2 linked regions of the Elephas maximus indicus genome follow. The protein of the gene in region 1 purifies or fractionates together with the protein of each later gene. This does not show direct contact. Links are inferred from orthologs where the notes say so. Each region holds a gene or a part of one and is shown on either strand. Other genes may lie near its edges.

Region 1 (7,246 bases):
CTATATACCCAAACCATGATTAATTCCCATCTTGCACACAAGAGCTCAGAAATACTCAGCAAACACTAGGTGACCTGCCCAGCAGACCGTGAAGCTGTGTCTGGGTACCGTATGTCCGCACCCCAGCCCTGTCGCTTCACACTAATGCAGGAAAGGCTGTGACGTCGACTCTCGGTTCGAATCCCTCCCAGGACACCCATGTCACCGCCGCCCATCAGTAAAGCCCAGGAGCCAACGGAGCAACGGGCAGGGAAGCAGTCACAGACCTCAAGAGAACGGAACACAACGGCGACAGCGGCCGGGGGCGCCCGCGCACTGCCACTGGTCCTCCCCCAGCGAAGAAATTACCTGCTGCAAGTACTGGTTGATGGTGATGTGCGCCATGGAAGCGGCGGCCAGTCCTGCGCTCAGTCTGGCCGACACCAGCCTCTCCCACTTCCGCCCGCGCGCTGACGTCACTTCCGGCCCAGCGGCGGAGCGCGCGCCCGCCGCCCGGCCACGCCTTCCTCTCGGGGTCGCTGGGAGGGGGCGCTCCCGGGGGGCCGGCCCTCTTCCACCGTGGGCTGAGGGAGGCGGCTGAGGGATGCTCAGGGAGGAGGCTCAGGGGGGAGGCTCAGCGGGGAGGCTGAGAGGGAGGAGGCCCAGGGAGGAGGCTGAGAGGGAGGCTCAGGGGGGAGGCCCAGGGAGGAGGTTCAGGGAGGAGGCTGAGGGATGCTCAGGGAGGAGGCTGAGGGAGGAGGCCCAGGGAGGAGGCTGAGGGATGCTCAGGGAGGAGGCTGAGGGAGGAGGCCCAGGGAGGAGGCTGAGGGATGCTCAGGGAGGAGGCTGAGAGGGAGGAGGCCCAGGGAGGAGGCTGAGAGGGAGGAGGCCCAGGGAGGAGGCTGAGAGGGAGGAGGCCCAGGGAGGAGGCTGAGGGATGCTCAGGGAGGAGGCTCAGAGAGGAGGCCCAGGGAGGAGGCTGAGAGGGAGGAGGCCCAGGGAGGAGGCTGAGAGGGAGGAGGCCCAGGGAGGAGGCTGAGGGATGCTCAGGGAGGAGGCTGAGGGATGCTCAGGGAGGAGGCTGAGGGATGCTCAGGGAGGAGGCCCAGGGAGGAGGCTGAGAGGGAGGAGGCCCAGGGAGGAGGCTGAAGGATGCTCAGGGAGGAGGCTGAGGGATGCTCAGGGAGGAGGCTGAGAGGGAGGAGGCCCAGGGAGGAGGCTGAGGGATGCTCAGGGAGGAGGCTGAGGGATGCTCAGGGAGGAGGCCCAGGGAGGAGGCTGAGGTGCCTTCCCGGCGGACTTCCTCTCGCCAGCTCTCAGCGAGGCAGCTCCCTCGCTCGCGTTCTCGGTTTTTGTTTGGTTCCACCGGCAGGCGCAGGACCACAGACTGGGGCAATGGGGGTTTTCATGGGAGTCCCTGGGGAGCCGAGGGTTGCCGTTTCTCGGCGGAGAACAGCCTCATGGCCTCGCTGCCGCGCGATACCCTCGGCTCCTGCGTGTTCAAAGGAAAAATCCCACCGCCGACGGGGACGGGACCGTGTCTACACACCCTTCCCCCGACCGCCCTGGTCCTCGGCGCCCCGGGCCGCGCACGCGCGGTGGCAGCGGCCGGTGTCCATCCCGCTGGCAGCGCGACCCCGCGGGCCCGTAACGAGGGCGGGGGCTCCTGGGGGTCCCGGGGGTCCGGCCGCTCCGGGGCCCCTCGGCCTCTCCGTACGAGCTTCCGCCCGCAAAGGGCCGCGCCACTGGCGGACCGAGATGGGGACAGCCATGAAGAGCCGGCCCCGAGTCCAGGGCGCTGCGCCGTGGGGCGGGGGACCCGGGATCGAACAGGGGACCAGGCGCGAATCGGCGGTTGGGAGCAAGCTCGTGGAAGGCCCGGCGGTGCCGCGGCTCGCGCGGCCCCGGCCCCCTTCCCGAGGCGGAGTCCCGCGGCCCGGGCCGGGGCAGGGGGCGGGCCCCGGGAAGTGGAGGCCGCTGGCGGGGGCGGAGAGGAGGCCGGGTTCCGGCTCCGGCCGGCGGCGGTGTTTACGGCGCGCGGGCGCAGGCTTCCAGCGGGCGGCCGTGCGGGCGCGGAGAACTTTTATCTGGGAGAAGGGACGGCCGGCGAGGGACGAGCGGGGCGGCGGCCCCGGGCGCGCTCTCGGCGGAGGCTCCCGGGACTCCCTTCGCTCCGCGGCCGCCGGCGAGGCCTAGCTCGCACCCCGGAGGGGCCGGGGCACCGGGCAGGGGCGGAGAAGGAGGCGGGGAGAGCAGGCCGGGGCAGGAGGAGGAGGAGGAGGAGGAGGAAGCGCGGCCGGGCCGCGACTGGAGGCGGGAACAGGCCGAGGGCGGGGGTGGGGCGGAGCGGCCGCCGCCGGTTTGTTTTCTCGGCAGTAGACATGGCAGACGAGACCCCCAAAAAGGGAAACTTTTCGGCTCTCGTCGGGCACACCAATGGCCTCACGAAACCTGCCTCCCTGGCAGCCGCCGCCGCCGTCACCACCAAACCTGGGGGCGGCAGCGGCTCCAAGAAATTAGTGATCAAAAATTTCCGAGGTAGGTGCGTGAGGGCGAGCGCGCCCGGGCTGGGGGAGGGGCGGCGGAGCCGAAACGGCCTCGGGACGGGCCTGCCCCGCGCGGCCCCGGGGGCTGGCGGACACAGCGGCCGGGCCAGCACGTCCCGCCGGGGCGACGGGCCGGGGCGCGGGGCGCGGGGCGACGGACGAGGGCGCATGGCGACGGTGCGGGGCGCGGGGCGACGGACGAGGGCGCATGGCGACGGTGCGGGGCGACGGGCCGGGGCGCGGGGCGACGGGCCAGGGTGCGGGGCGACGGACGAGGGCGCGGGGCGGCGGGCCGGGGCGCGGGGCGGCGGGGCGGCGGACGAGGGCTCGGGGCGACGGGCCGGGGCGCAGGACTACGGACAAGGGCGCATGGCGACGGGCCGGGGCGCGGGGCGACGGCCGGCCGCGGCGGTCCCGGGAGGAAGGGGCGGCCGAGCGACTTCCTGCGCCCCCCGCCGGCGGCGGGTGCGTGGGGCCGCGCGGCGCGGACGTCGGAGCGGCGACGGCCAATGGGGAAGGGGCGCGGGTCGGCCTCCCTGCGCACGCGCCGCGCTGACCTGCGCCGACCTCGGCCGCGCTGGACCCTGCGGGGTCGGGGACCCAGAGCCGCCGCGGTGCTTCGGGGTCCCGCCGGGCCTGCCCTCTGCGTCTCGGCCTTCTGTCGGCCGCCGGCTAGCTTTCTAGTCTGTGCTGCCTCGTGAGATCTCTGTGTAACGTGGACATCACTTTGGTCCAGTTCCCAGGGACTTTTGGACTCCGTACACCTTTCCCGGTACCGAGTTCAGGGAGGTTTGAAATCTTGTGCGAGACTAGGACGGCACATCCCTCCCCTAAGATAGAAAGAAAGAGGCCCAGTGAGTCGGCAGTTTAGCCTCCTGACTCAGGGCGCGTACCCGGAGCTCAGCACTGTGCGCCTCAGGACGCAGACCCTGCAGAAATAGGGATCGTCCGTTAAGTGTGTACACACGGACTTTTTAAACTTCACCTGACCGCCCTAAATATGGGACATTGGAGATTTATACCATATCAGGTCTTCTTTGTAGCAGTGTTTTGTTCTCATGACTCTATGCAATTGATAGAAAAATCATAAATTAGATAAATAATGTATGGTGATTGGCACAGCTGAACCAGAATAAGCCACTACTGCGCGCGTCACTGTACTTTCTGTTACTTCCTCCACCTCTTACCACCTCTATCTTGGATAATATCTCAAAATAAGCATCTTTGATGCGGGTATATACAATTACAAGCTTACTCTTTACCTTCCAATGTTAGATAATTTATATCAATTTAAAATTGCGTAGAGCTTAACTGTGCCACGTTTATAATGTTCTGATGTCAACTTGTTAAGGAAACTAAGATGTGTAAATTTGAAGTATTCATCCTAACTAACTATTAGTACTAAGTATTGAAATAAAGATGTTACCGTTGCTTAGTCCATAACCCAAGGAATTTATAAATGCAATACTTTGAATTTGGAAAACTTGATTTTCCTGTTTTTTCTGCTTTTAAGTATTTTTCTTTGAGAACATTTTAGAAGATGTGTTACTGTCCTGTGGCAGCCCTTCTCCACTGATTCTCTTTCTGAATTTACAGACAGACCTAAACTGCCGGATAATTACACTCAGGATACATGGCACAAGCTTCATGAGGCAGTGAAAGCCATACAAAGTAGTACCTCCATTAAATACAACCTCGAAGAGCTCTACCAGGTAAGGGTCCAAATGTAGTAAACTGTAGAGTTTGCTAGAATTTCTGTTGAGACGTGAATGTGGAATTTTCTTAGACCTGGAGAAGTTCCTCAGAACTTGATTTGGTTGACATCTTGTCATTACAGTTACCTGGTTGTCTCTCTAGTTGTTTAAACGCATCGCCCAGTTCCTGTGAAATGTGATACAGGTGAAGATTCTACATTCCACTTTAAGAGAGTCAGCAGTGACAGAATATGAATCCAGAATGTCTCAGTATGTTTGCCTCAAACAGGAACAACAGGAGTCCTGTGAAAGTGGGTCCTGGTGTGTTTTTGTTCATTGGTTCTTATTGGGTTTTTATTTTGTTTTCAGGCTTAAGCTGCCTGGGAAGATTTTAGTTATCACATTGCAAGAATAAGGTGGGATGTTTTTCAGAGCCATACGATTCTAGTAATTTCCAAATACGTAGCAAATTATTATTATCACATTATGTTTATGAAATTCTTAATTGTTTTTCTTGTTAATATAGATTTCTCGCTTCATTGTGTTTTGTGATTAATTGCTGAAATGAAGTTCTGTAAACACATTTTATGTTTAATATGAAGTAATGAAATTCCATTTTTCAAGGAAGAAAATGGTTAAAAGAACATTTTATTTGAATTTTTCATTTACAACCTGACTGGTTTTTCTGATTTTTTAAAGAATAACATTCATTAACTAATAGCGGCTACGTTTTAGGCTACAATATCATATCACACAATTATTTCCATTAAAAAGGCTTGCATTTTTAAAGTTACCTTTTTTTCAGATGATGTGAGTGATTGGATTATAAAAATTATGGAAAATACAAAGCAAAAATTACCTATGCTCCCACCAGTCAAAGAAGGTTACTGCTGACATTTTCATGGACATAGTAAATAGTTTGTCTTCCTGTATGTGTTTATGATGTTTTTAATCAGCTTTATTGAAATGTAATTTACACATAATAAAATTTTTTCATTAAGTGTACATAGTTCAGTAAGCTTTAGTAAATGTATACAGCCGTGTAACCACCACCATCAAGACGGGCAATATTTCCATCCCACAACTTCTCTGAGGCCCCTTGCGTTCAGTCCTGTCCCTGACTGCCAACCATCTGCAATTTCTCACTGTATTTTTACCACTTCTATATCTCAAAAAAAAAAAAAAAAATTTTTTTTTATTTATATCTCATCTAAATGTAATCATGCATTTTATAATGCTTTTTATCTGGTTTCTTAGGATAATGCTTTTGAGATTCATTCACGTTGTATGGCAGTAATTTCTTTTCATTGCTCAGTAGTAGTCCACTGTATAGATATACCACAATTGGCTTGTTCATTACCGCTTAATGGATATTTGGTTTCTGTTTTTTTACTGTTGTGAATAAAGCTACTGTGAACAGTAGTGAATAAATCTTTGCGTGGGCATATGTTTTTATTCTAGGTAAAAACCTAGAAGTGGGATTGTAGGGTCATATGGAAAATACATGTTGTTTAACTTTATCAGAAATTTCCCGTCTTCAAACTGGGGGCACCACTTTGCGTTCTACCAGCAGTAGGTGAGAGTGCCAGTTGCCGCACGTCCTTGCCAGCATTTGGTATTGTCAGTCTATTTTAACTTTAGTGCTCTAGAAAGTATATAGTGCGATCTCTTTGTGGTTTTAATTTGCATTTTCCTGGTGACTGATGATAGTAAGCATCTTTCATGTGCTCATTTGTCATCCATATATCTTCATGAAGTGTCTGTTAAGATCTCTTGCCCATTTTTTGAGTTGTTTATTTCTAATTTTTGATTTTTGAGAATTCTCGGTACTTTCTAGGTACAAGTTCTGTATCAAATGTTTCCCTTGTAAATATTTTCTCCCAGGCTGTGGCTTGTCTTTGGATTCTCTAACAGTGGCTCTTGAAGAGCAGTAGTCTTTAATTTTGATTAAGTCAAATGTACCAATTTGTTCTTCTATGGATTGTGCTTTTAGTATCTAAGAATTCTTTGCCCGTTCCAAGGTCACAAAGATTTTCTCTTATTTCCTTCCAGACATGAGGTATAAATTCAGGTTCAATTTTTTCTGTGTAGATGTTCAGTTGTTACAGTACAATCCGTTGAAAAGGCTGTCCTTTCCCCACTAAACTGCCTTTGCACTTTTGTCAAAAATAGGGTTTTTGTTTGTTTCCCATCTCTCAGAGATCACTGTCTTTCGTTTCCAAGTACCTCGTGCCTTGAAACTTGTTTCATATATTTTGTCTGCTTTTTGGTTATTACAGGTGTATAAGTAAACCCTGTCCCTCTGCTTACTTAAGTCCTGCCTAGTACCTAAACTCTCATAGGGCTTAAACAGTGTTTCCAGGTGCCCTGGCGTACCTGTGTGCTTCTGTGGTAATCTCAGGACTAGGGATGCTTGTACCCAAAACGGCAGTCACAGGATTGCTCGCTATGATGAGACATGACACGTTTCCTATAGACATCTCAGAAGATCCTGCTCACCAAGGTTAAGTTCGGGAGTAAATTGACCCCCTCACTGATCGTCGTCGTGTGCACTTAGTCATCTCCTGTTGTATAGGCAGACTCTGGCCCACTGTAGAGAAACACCAATGAATCTAAGTACATAGTTCAAGAGTGAGCAGCCTCAAATTTTTTGGAAGCAAGTTCCAGTTGCCATCGAATCGATTCTGACCGTGGCAGCCCCGTGTGTGTCAGAGGAGAACTGTGCTCTGTAGATGGATTCTGACCGTGGCAGCCCCGTGTGTGTCAGGGGAGAACTGTACTCTGTAGATCGATTCTGACCGTGGCAACCCCGTGTGTGTCAGGGGAGAACTGTACTCTGTAGATCGATTCTGACCGTGGCAGCCCCATGTGTGTCAGGGGAGAACTGTACTCTGTAGACGGATTCTGACCGTGGCAACCCCGTGTGTGTCAGGGGAGAACTGTACTCTGTAGACGGATTCTGACCGTGGCAGCCCCGTGTGTGTCAGGGGAGAACTGTACTCTGTAGACGGATTCTGACCGTGGCAG
Region 2 (7,246 bases), on another chromosome or scaffold:
CCTCCCTCCCCCCTTTCTCCCACTGCTCCTCCCCCCTCCTGTTCTCCCACTGCTCCTCCCCCTCCCTCCCCCTTTCTCCAACTGCTCCTCCCCCTCCCTCCCCCTTCTCCCCTCCCTCCCCCTCCCTTCCCCCTTTCTCCCACTGCTCCTCCCCCTCCTCCTTCCTGTCTTCCTCCCACTCCCACCAGCTCAGATGGCACCAGGAGACTTTAGACCAGGATTTCTATGAAGAGATGAGGGTTTCTACTGGGGAGGAACTGGGAGCGATGCAAACACAGCCAGGGTCACTCACCAGGTTTGGGGATCAGGGGAGGAGGCCCCAGGGGACGTTGGCTGGAGGGGGTGTCATGAGGAGAAGGGGAGCCTGGTGGAGGGACCTGGAGAGGGAGGTGCCCAGGCTGGCTCACACCACCCCTTGCATGGGGGTAAGGAGCAGCTTTCTAGAAATGTTGGCTGTAAAAATTTGTTCTTGGAAACAGTTTCCTTCACCAATTCACCCCGGTGGCCCAAGCAGTTAGTATTCTGGAAAAAACCACTCGAGCATGGTTTCCCCTTTTCTTTAGTTCACACTCTCTTCGGCTTCCACTACTGATTTTTCTGAGCGTGACAAATTTTTGGGAAGGATATAAAGGGGTTTAAAACAGATAATAAAGCAAATTACTTGTTTTTGTTAAGCGGCTTTTCCTGCTGGCTATCCGGTTTCCGGATTTCAGCTCTGCAGGGAGGATTTTCTTTTTCACCAGAAGGTTCTACCTCCTGGGGGAGGGCGGGGCCAGGCCCATTTACCTGGGAGTGGAAGTTGGGAAACTGAGTTAACAGATTTGAGTTCTGTGACTTCTGGGGTCAGGACCCTCATCCCACTCTGCCAGGAGGGCTGGGGACTGGAAGTAATTTCTATCTGGGGCTGGAACCTGGGGTGCACAGTTTGGGGGTGGCACTAGGCTGGAGGGAGAGGGAGGGTCTGGTAAACCGTCAACAGAGTTTGGCTTTTGATCTGAGGGCCCTGGGAAGCTATTTCTAAACCTTAGACTGGGGAGAGACAGACCAGAGCTGGAGTTTTCCTATGGCGTGCTGTGTAGAGGTTTGGGAAGGGTAGCATAGTGGTCACTCTGAGATGATGAGGCTGGCATGGAGAGGAGTGGGTGGACCTGAGGACTGAGAGGTATGGGGGGGAATCCAGGGTGGGCTCAGGTGTCCGTCCAGGCCACCAGGTGGCTGGAGATGCCCATCTTAGGCCACCAGGTGGCTGGAGATGCCCATCTTCACCTCTTAGCTGGTTTTGTTAACATTGGAGCATCCCGGCATTTGGCTCCAAGGCACCTGGACCAAGGGTGACCGGGCCTGCTGGACACACAGATCCACGTGAACTATGGCCTTGCCACCCTGTGTCCTCTCTGGGAGAGGGCTCCAGATTGGCTGCCACTCTTCAGCTGTCGTTATCCATGACAGCCACACATCTCACCTTCCGTGGGCGGTTGGTTCCACTTCTAATGCATGGTCCCTTTGTTTGCTCAGGTACCTTGTCCTATTAATTGGAAAATAAGAGTTTGTCTGCCACTCTACCCACAGACCTGGGCAGGGGCGGTGGAGCTGCAGGAGCCAGGGCCACCTCCAAGAGTCTAAGGCCCATGTGGTTTGCAGAAGTGGGGCAGTGGGCTGCGGCTGCTCGTGGATGGAGCAGAACACTGGACCCCAGGTTCTCCTCCTGCCCCTCACTCCTCTCTGAGCCTCACCTGCCCGTCTGTGATGGAGGTGAACACCTGCCTGGGGGCCCCACCAGGGAGGGGCTGTGAAACCAGTTTGCATGCAGTAATTACGAGCATTGTATTCATCACACAACGCTGGGAGGGAAGAAGGTGTGGTGAGCTTGGGGAAGAGCTGGCGCTGGAAGGACTCTCAGCCCCTCGGGCGGAGTCCGGGGACTGAGCCCCAGGTCTTGTAAGCGGAAGGCGTGCGCACCTGTCCGCCTGATGTGTGAGGGTTCACTGAGGCGTTGCGCGGGCTAGCTGCAGATGCTGTCACAGCCAACTGCTGCGACCAGTGGTGTGAGCGTTAATGAAGAATTGATGCCCCAACCGGGCCACCGATTCCGAGGAGAAACGTTGGGCAACTTCCCCTCCTCAGAATCCCCGGGGAACGCCCTGTCCCAGGATGTGGGTGTCGGCTGCAGGGCTGCTCACAAAATTCAAGGGATACAATAGTACATCCCTGTATGTATATTACACTAAAAAAAATCTTTAAAAAGTGCGGGAGAGGCGGGCCCGCACCAGCCAACTTCTGGAGTTGAACGCTTTGGATCAGGAAGCGAGCGCAGCGCCCGGCCCCTTTAAGGCGTTCGGCTGGCCGAGGCCTTCTGCCCCTTGCCGCTCTCCGTAGCGCTCCTCAGAGAGGCCAGCTTTGTGCGTTGGCCCCGCCTCCGGGGCACCGCCCCCTCTCCTCGCGCACGCGCACTGGCAGGGGCCCCCCCCACGCCGCTTGGCGCCCGCCGGACCTGCCGCCTCGTCGAGCTTGGCCCGCGCTGCCGCCCAGGTGGCGGCCGACGCGACGCCCGGCTCCCGGCCCCGCCGCTGCGGCCCAGAGGTAAGCGCCGGCCCGCGGGCCGCAGCGGGGTGGGTGGGCGCGACCCGGCTTCGCCCCCAAACCGTCTCCGGCCGCCGCACGTGTTCCCCGCCAGGCCGGCGCCCCGGGCCTCGGCCCCCGTGGCAGCTCCTTCCCGCGGACCCCAAACCGCCGCCGGCGGGCCCGGGCCCTCCTCGTGCAGACGCCCTCCGTGAGGGCCACCTTCCGCGCCTCCCCAGCCCCCAGCCCCCAGCCGGTGCCCCCTTCGCCCTCCTCCCGGCTCAGGCTCCCCGCCCGTCCCCGTTGCCCCATCTGGCGGCCCCGCCCTGGGTGTCCTGCCCCCCATCCCAGGGGTACCCCCCACACCCCCATTGATTGCAGGTGCCCCTCCCCGGCCCATGTCCCAGTCTCCCCGGAACTTCTCTCTCCGCAGCGGTCACATGACAAGACCAAAGCCCCAGGGGTTGGGACGCCCCTCCCAACCCCCAGCCAGCGTGCACATCGCCCCCTTCCCCTGCATTTCTTCAGAGAGACCCCAGGCCGGTCTGTCCCACATGTGGTCCACGCAGACACTGGCTGAATGCAGACAGGGTTGAGCTCCCCTCTTCTGTAGACATGACCCCTGTTTTCCACCCACCCTGCCCCTGCTGGTTACTCCTGAGCTGCCAGACCCCGTCTCGCCTAAGAGCCTAGAGCCCCGGGTTGGGGTCACTGTGGTGTGAGTCCACCCTCAGGAAGGGAGAAGCCACCGGCCCTCCTGTGGTGGAACCTCAGACCACGCCTGGTCTGGTCTTTGAAAGCCATTTGGGGATATTTTAAAAGATACCCCTTAACCACCTTTGCTGTGCAAGCCTTTACCCACCCAGGTCTTTTCACCAATTCTCTTAAAGAAATGTTGCTGTCCAGTTGATGCCAACTCATAACGACCCTATAGGACATGGTAGAACTGCCCCATAGGGTTTCCAAGGAGTGGCTGGTGGATTCGAGCTGCTCGCCTTGTGGTTAGCAGTCTGAGCTCTTAACCACTGCGCCACCAGGGCTCCAATTCTCGTCAACAAACGTTTTAAAGCTTTGAATCGGGCGGTACTGCACTAGACCTTGCCTCTGAGCTTGGCCCCTAAGGAAGGCAGACAGGTAAGTGGGGAGCAGAAGTATGTCCAAGAGCTGAGGTAGCAGAGAGCTGTTCCTGCCACGACTGCTGCAGGACGGGCTGCCTGAGCTCACCTGGGCGTGTGCACAGAGAAATAGGTGGCCTCTGAGTTCCCACGTCTGGATGGAGCCCAGGAACCTGTGTTTTACCAGAGTCTAGGAAAGCGCTCAAGTTTGGGAGGCTCTGCCTTAGGTGTCAGGCTCACTGGGATCAAAGGCCTGTGGGTGCCTAGAGGGGCGGGAGCTCTGGAGGCAACGTCCAGGTTGCCCTCCGGGTGTGTATTCACCTTCTTGTACCCTGCCTTTTTATTGGTTTGGCCCCTAACCAGCTCCCTGTTCCCTCAAAATAATCCTTTCTCCAAATGTGACCACAGACCTGTCTAAGTGTCTGTGAAGAATGCAGCTGCGGGCGTAGACCCCACCCAGCAAAGCAGAGTCTTGGGGTGCTGAGTCAAGAAATCCATATTCTTAAAGGTCCTTCTCTGCATAGGGTTTTTTTTGCATGTTAATGTTTGAAGGCTGGGCTTGCGCTGGGTGGGGGGTAAGACCACCTACTTTTGCACAAGGGTTTTTTTGCATGTTAATGTTGGAAGGCTGGGCTTGTGCTGGGTGGGGGGTAAGACCACCTACTTCAGCCTTTTGTTCCTCTTGGGCAGCCAATTGGCCGTAGTCACGCCCTGCCTCTAGGCCAGGCTGTTTATGCTAAAAGAACACTTCTGGCCCTTGAGCTGCCCTTTTGTGGAGCCTTTGCCACTGGTGTCCCACCTGGGGCAGGGGCACCAGCCACTTCTCAGCCCTGTGCTGTGATCTGGGCGTCCTTGGATGCATCTGCAGCAGGCTTCCCAGCAGAAGAGAGCTTCGTGCCCGTTGGCTTTGCCCAGTGGGTGTTCCTGGGTAAACTTTCTCCCCTTGGATGAAGACTTTGGGACTTTGTCCTTTTTGATGGGTTCCATTTCGCCTGAAGCTTCAAGCTAGAAGGTACAGTGTGTGAACACACCAGGTGAATGGTAGTGCCAGCTTAGGGGGTTGAATGGCCAGTGACATTTGCAGGAAAGGCTTAGTGGCTCTCCTTTTTAACAGCGGTTTCCCTCATTTCTGGATAACCTGGTGTGGTTTCATGAGAGGTATCCAGTAACGGAGGAGCTCTGGTGGTGCAGTGGTTAAGGGCTTGGCTGCTAACCGAAAGTTAAGTGGTTCAAACCCACCAGCCACCCCCTAGGGTAAAGACGTGGCAGCTTGCTTCCTTAAAGGTTACAGCCTTGGAAACGCTACGGGGCAGTTCGGCTCTGTCCTCTGGGGTTGCTGTGAGTTGGACTCGACTCGTCTGCAACAGGTTTGATTTTGGTTTTATCCAGTAATGGAATGTGCTGCTGTGACAGGAGACTGATGGCTTACTGCACAGGTTTGGGGTGTTTCCCACTGTCGAGCGGACCCTGGCTGAGCTGCAGTCTCTTCCCTCCTCTGCAGTGAGTCTGGCTGCGGGGTCAGTGCCCAGCTTAGGCTCCTTGCAGCTTGCAGGGCAGGCCCTGGGTCACGCTTCAGCTGTGTGCTGAGTTTCCTCACCTGTTGGCGATCTGGAAGCAGCCTGTGCGGTGAGCCCTTGAGCCCACCCTGAGGTGCGGGAGCCCTGGGTGTGCTCACGCCTGCGTCCCCACTCGGGGTGCGTTTTAGGATCTGGATGAGTTGTCACCTTCCGCACCCTGACGCTGAGTCCCCTGTCCTTTGGCACGTTAGTTTTCTGTCAGGAAACCTTTGGGTCTTTTTCTTAACGTATCAAGGGGTCTTTGAAGAAAATTGCATTTTGTGTGGATCAAGCTGCCTTCCTGCCAACGTCTGGGTAACAAAATAGGCAGCCCCGTGCAGCATGGTGACTTTGATTACGGGAAAGGGTGAGGGCAGCGCTGTCTCGCCCAGCATCTGCAGAGCGTTAGTGTGGCCCGAGTCTACTAGTCAGGCTCCCCAGCTCGGAACAGGCTATTTGCTGCCAGGGTCAGTGTGGTGGCCAGGCATTTTTCGTCTTGGTCCTTTGTCCTGGATATTAGCTTTTAAAATGGTTTGTTCATTGGCCTAGGTTCCCCCCGATAGGCTTTGGTAAGCAGACGCCTCTTTCCAGCCTGACTCTTCTGCTCAGAGCTGTGCACCCCGTCCCCCTGCCTGGTGGGCTGCGGAGCCATGGCAACGGAGGAGAAGAAGCCGGAGACCGAAGCTGCCAGGGCACAGCCGACCCCTTCGTCGTCGGCCACTCAGAGCAAGGTGTGTGCAGAGCACTCCTTGGGGGGCTTCTGGGGGAGTATCTGTTTAAAGAGCCTTGGAATATTATTCACGCCCGTAAGTTTATTCTCCGTGCCCAGCTAGATAACGCTGTCAGGTTCTACTGCCTGAGCACGTGCCCGAGGGGTGCTTATGCACCACAGTGGGTTCCCAAACCCATCACCCGGGCAGGAGCTTTATCAGCAATGTAGATGCTTGGTCCTGAGTGTAAGACTCTGAGAGTGAGACCCAGGAGACATCTTTCTGTGAGCCCCCCACCTGGCCCCAGAATCCCAGTGCCCAGCCAGGCCTGCGTGCCCCTCCTGTAGACGACAGGAAGCAAGCAGACCTTTCACCCAGGTAGTGAGGCTCAGATTTGCTTTGGGGAGGCTGGACTTTGGACGGGAGAGGGTGCTGAAGCAAGACCAGAGGTGTGGGGACTCCTTCGATACAGCAGCGTCCCGGTGACGTGACCAGTAGAAAATGGGGTAGTGTGGGGCCTTCAGGTGGCCTCAGACCTTTCTAGCGTGGATGGTGGAACCAGAGGACAGGTGGGGAAGGCAGGAGAAGTAGGTTTGTTTGTGGGGGGGTAGCGGCGTAGTGGTTAAAGCACTTGGCTGCTGACCGAAATGTTGGCAGTTCAAACCCACCAGCCACTGCACAAGACAAAGATGTGGCAGTCAGCTTCTGTAACGACTGCAGCCTTAGAAACTCTACGGGACAGCTCTACTCTGTCCATAGCATCAGTGTGAGTCGGAATCGACTCTGCCAGCACCCAGCAACAATGAGTTTGGACACATTCTAAGTTGAGTGGTGATATCCAGGTAGAGCTTTCCAGGGGCTCTGGGAATACGGATTTGGAAATGAGTCTGAGTTTGAATTAAAGCTTTGGAAATCAGATCCAAGCCAGTAAGCCACTGAGTCACTGAGTGGACGATCGTGTCGCGTTATGCAAACATTGATGTTGCCCATTTCTGATAGCCTACACCTGTCAAACCAAACTACGCTCTGAAGTTCACCTTGGCTGGCCACACAAAAGCCGTGTCCTCCGTGAAGTTCAGTCCCAATGGAGAATGGCTGGCCAGTTCCTGTGAGTACCCCTGCGCTCCTGCCAGCTGCTGGGAGGAGTAGGTTGAGCTGCCGACAAGCATTGGGGAGCGCCTGGACGGGTTTTTTTCCTGACCCTGTTGCTGGGTCACTTGAGCCAGCTGTGTGTCCCTCACTGTGACTGAAAGCGTTACCACCTGCTAAAGTAGAGCCTGCTGCTGCTCCTAAAGGGGGTGCGGGG

Evidence for each region. Proteins that work in one complex are often made in the same cells at the same time.
Region 2: the proteins of CUL4A (region 1) and WDR5 purify together in Homo sapiens (affinity purification with western blotting; 4 studies listed by BioGRID and IntAct, with this or other methods). This does not show direct contact. The link is inferred for Elephas maximus indicus from reciprocal best matches to the Homo sapiens genes CUL4A and WDR5.

What each region holds. Positions count from the first base shown.
Region 1 is NC_064841.1:79,610,136-79,617,381, forward strand, and holds the start of CUL4A (cullin-4A), read left to right. Parts: upstream 1-2,279; 5' UTR 2,280-2,360; coding exon 2,361-2,517; intron 2,518-4,121; coding exon 4,122-4,237; intron 4,238-4,383; exon of another isoform or gene 4,384-4,470; coding exon of another isoform or gene 4,471-4,530; intron 4,531-7,246. Other genes in the region: PCID2 (PCI domain-containing protein 2), read right to left, coding at 349-384. UniProt on the Homo sapiens protein: Core component of multiple cullin-RING-based E3 ubiquitin-protein ligase complexes which mediate the ubiquitination of target proteins. As a scaffold protein may contribute to catalysis through positioning of the substrate and the ubiquitin-conjugating enzyme.
Region 2 is NC_064827.1:4,451,019-4,458,264, reverse strand, and holds the start of WDR5 (WD repeat-containing protein 5), read left to right. Parts: upstream 1-2,468; 5' UTR 2,469-2,580; intron 2,581-5,779; exon of another isoform or gene 5,780-5,821; 5' UTR 5,822-5,880; coding exon 5,881-5,961; intron 5,962-6,939; coding exon 6,940-7,048; intron 7,049-7,246.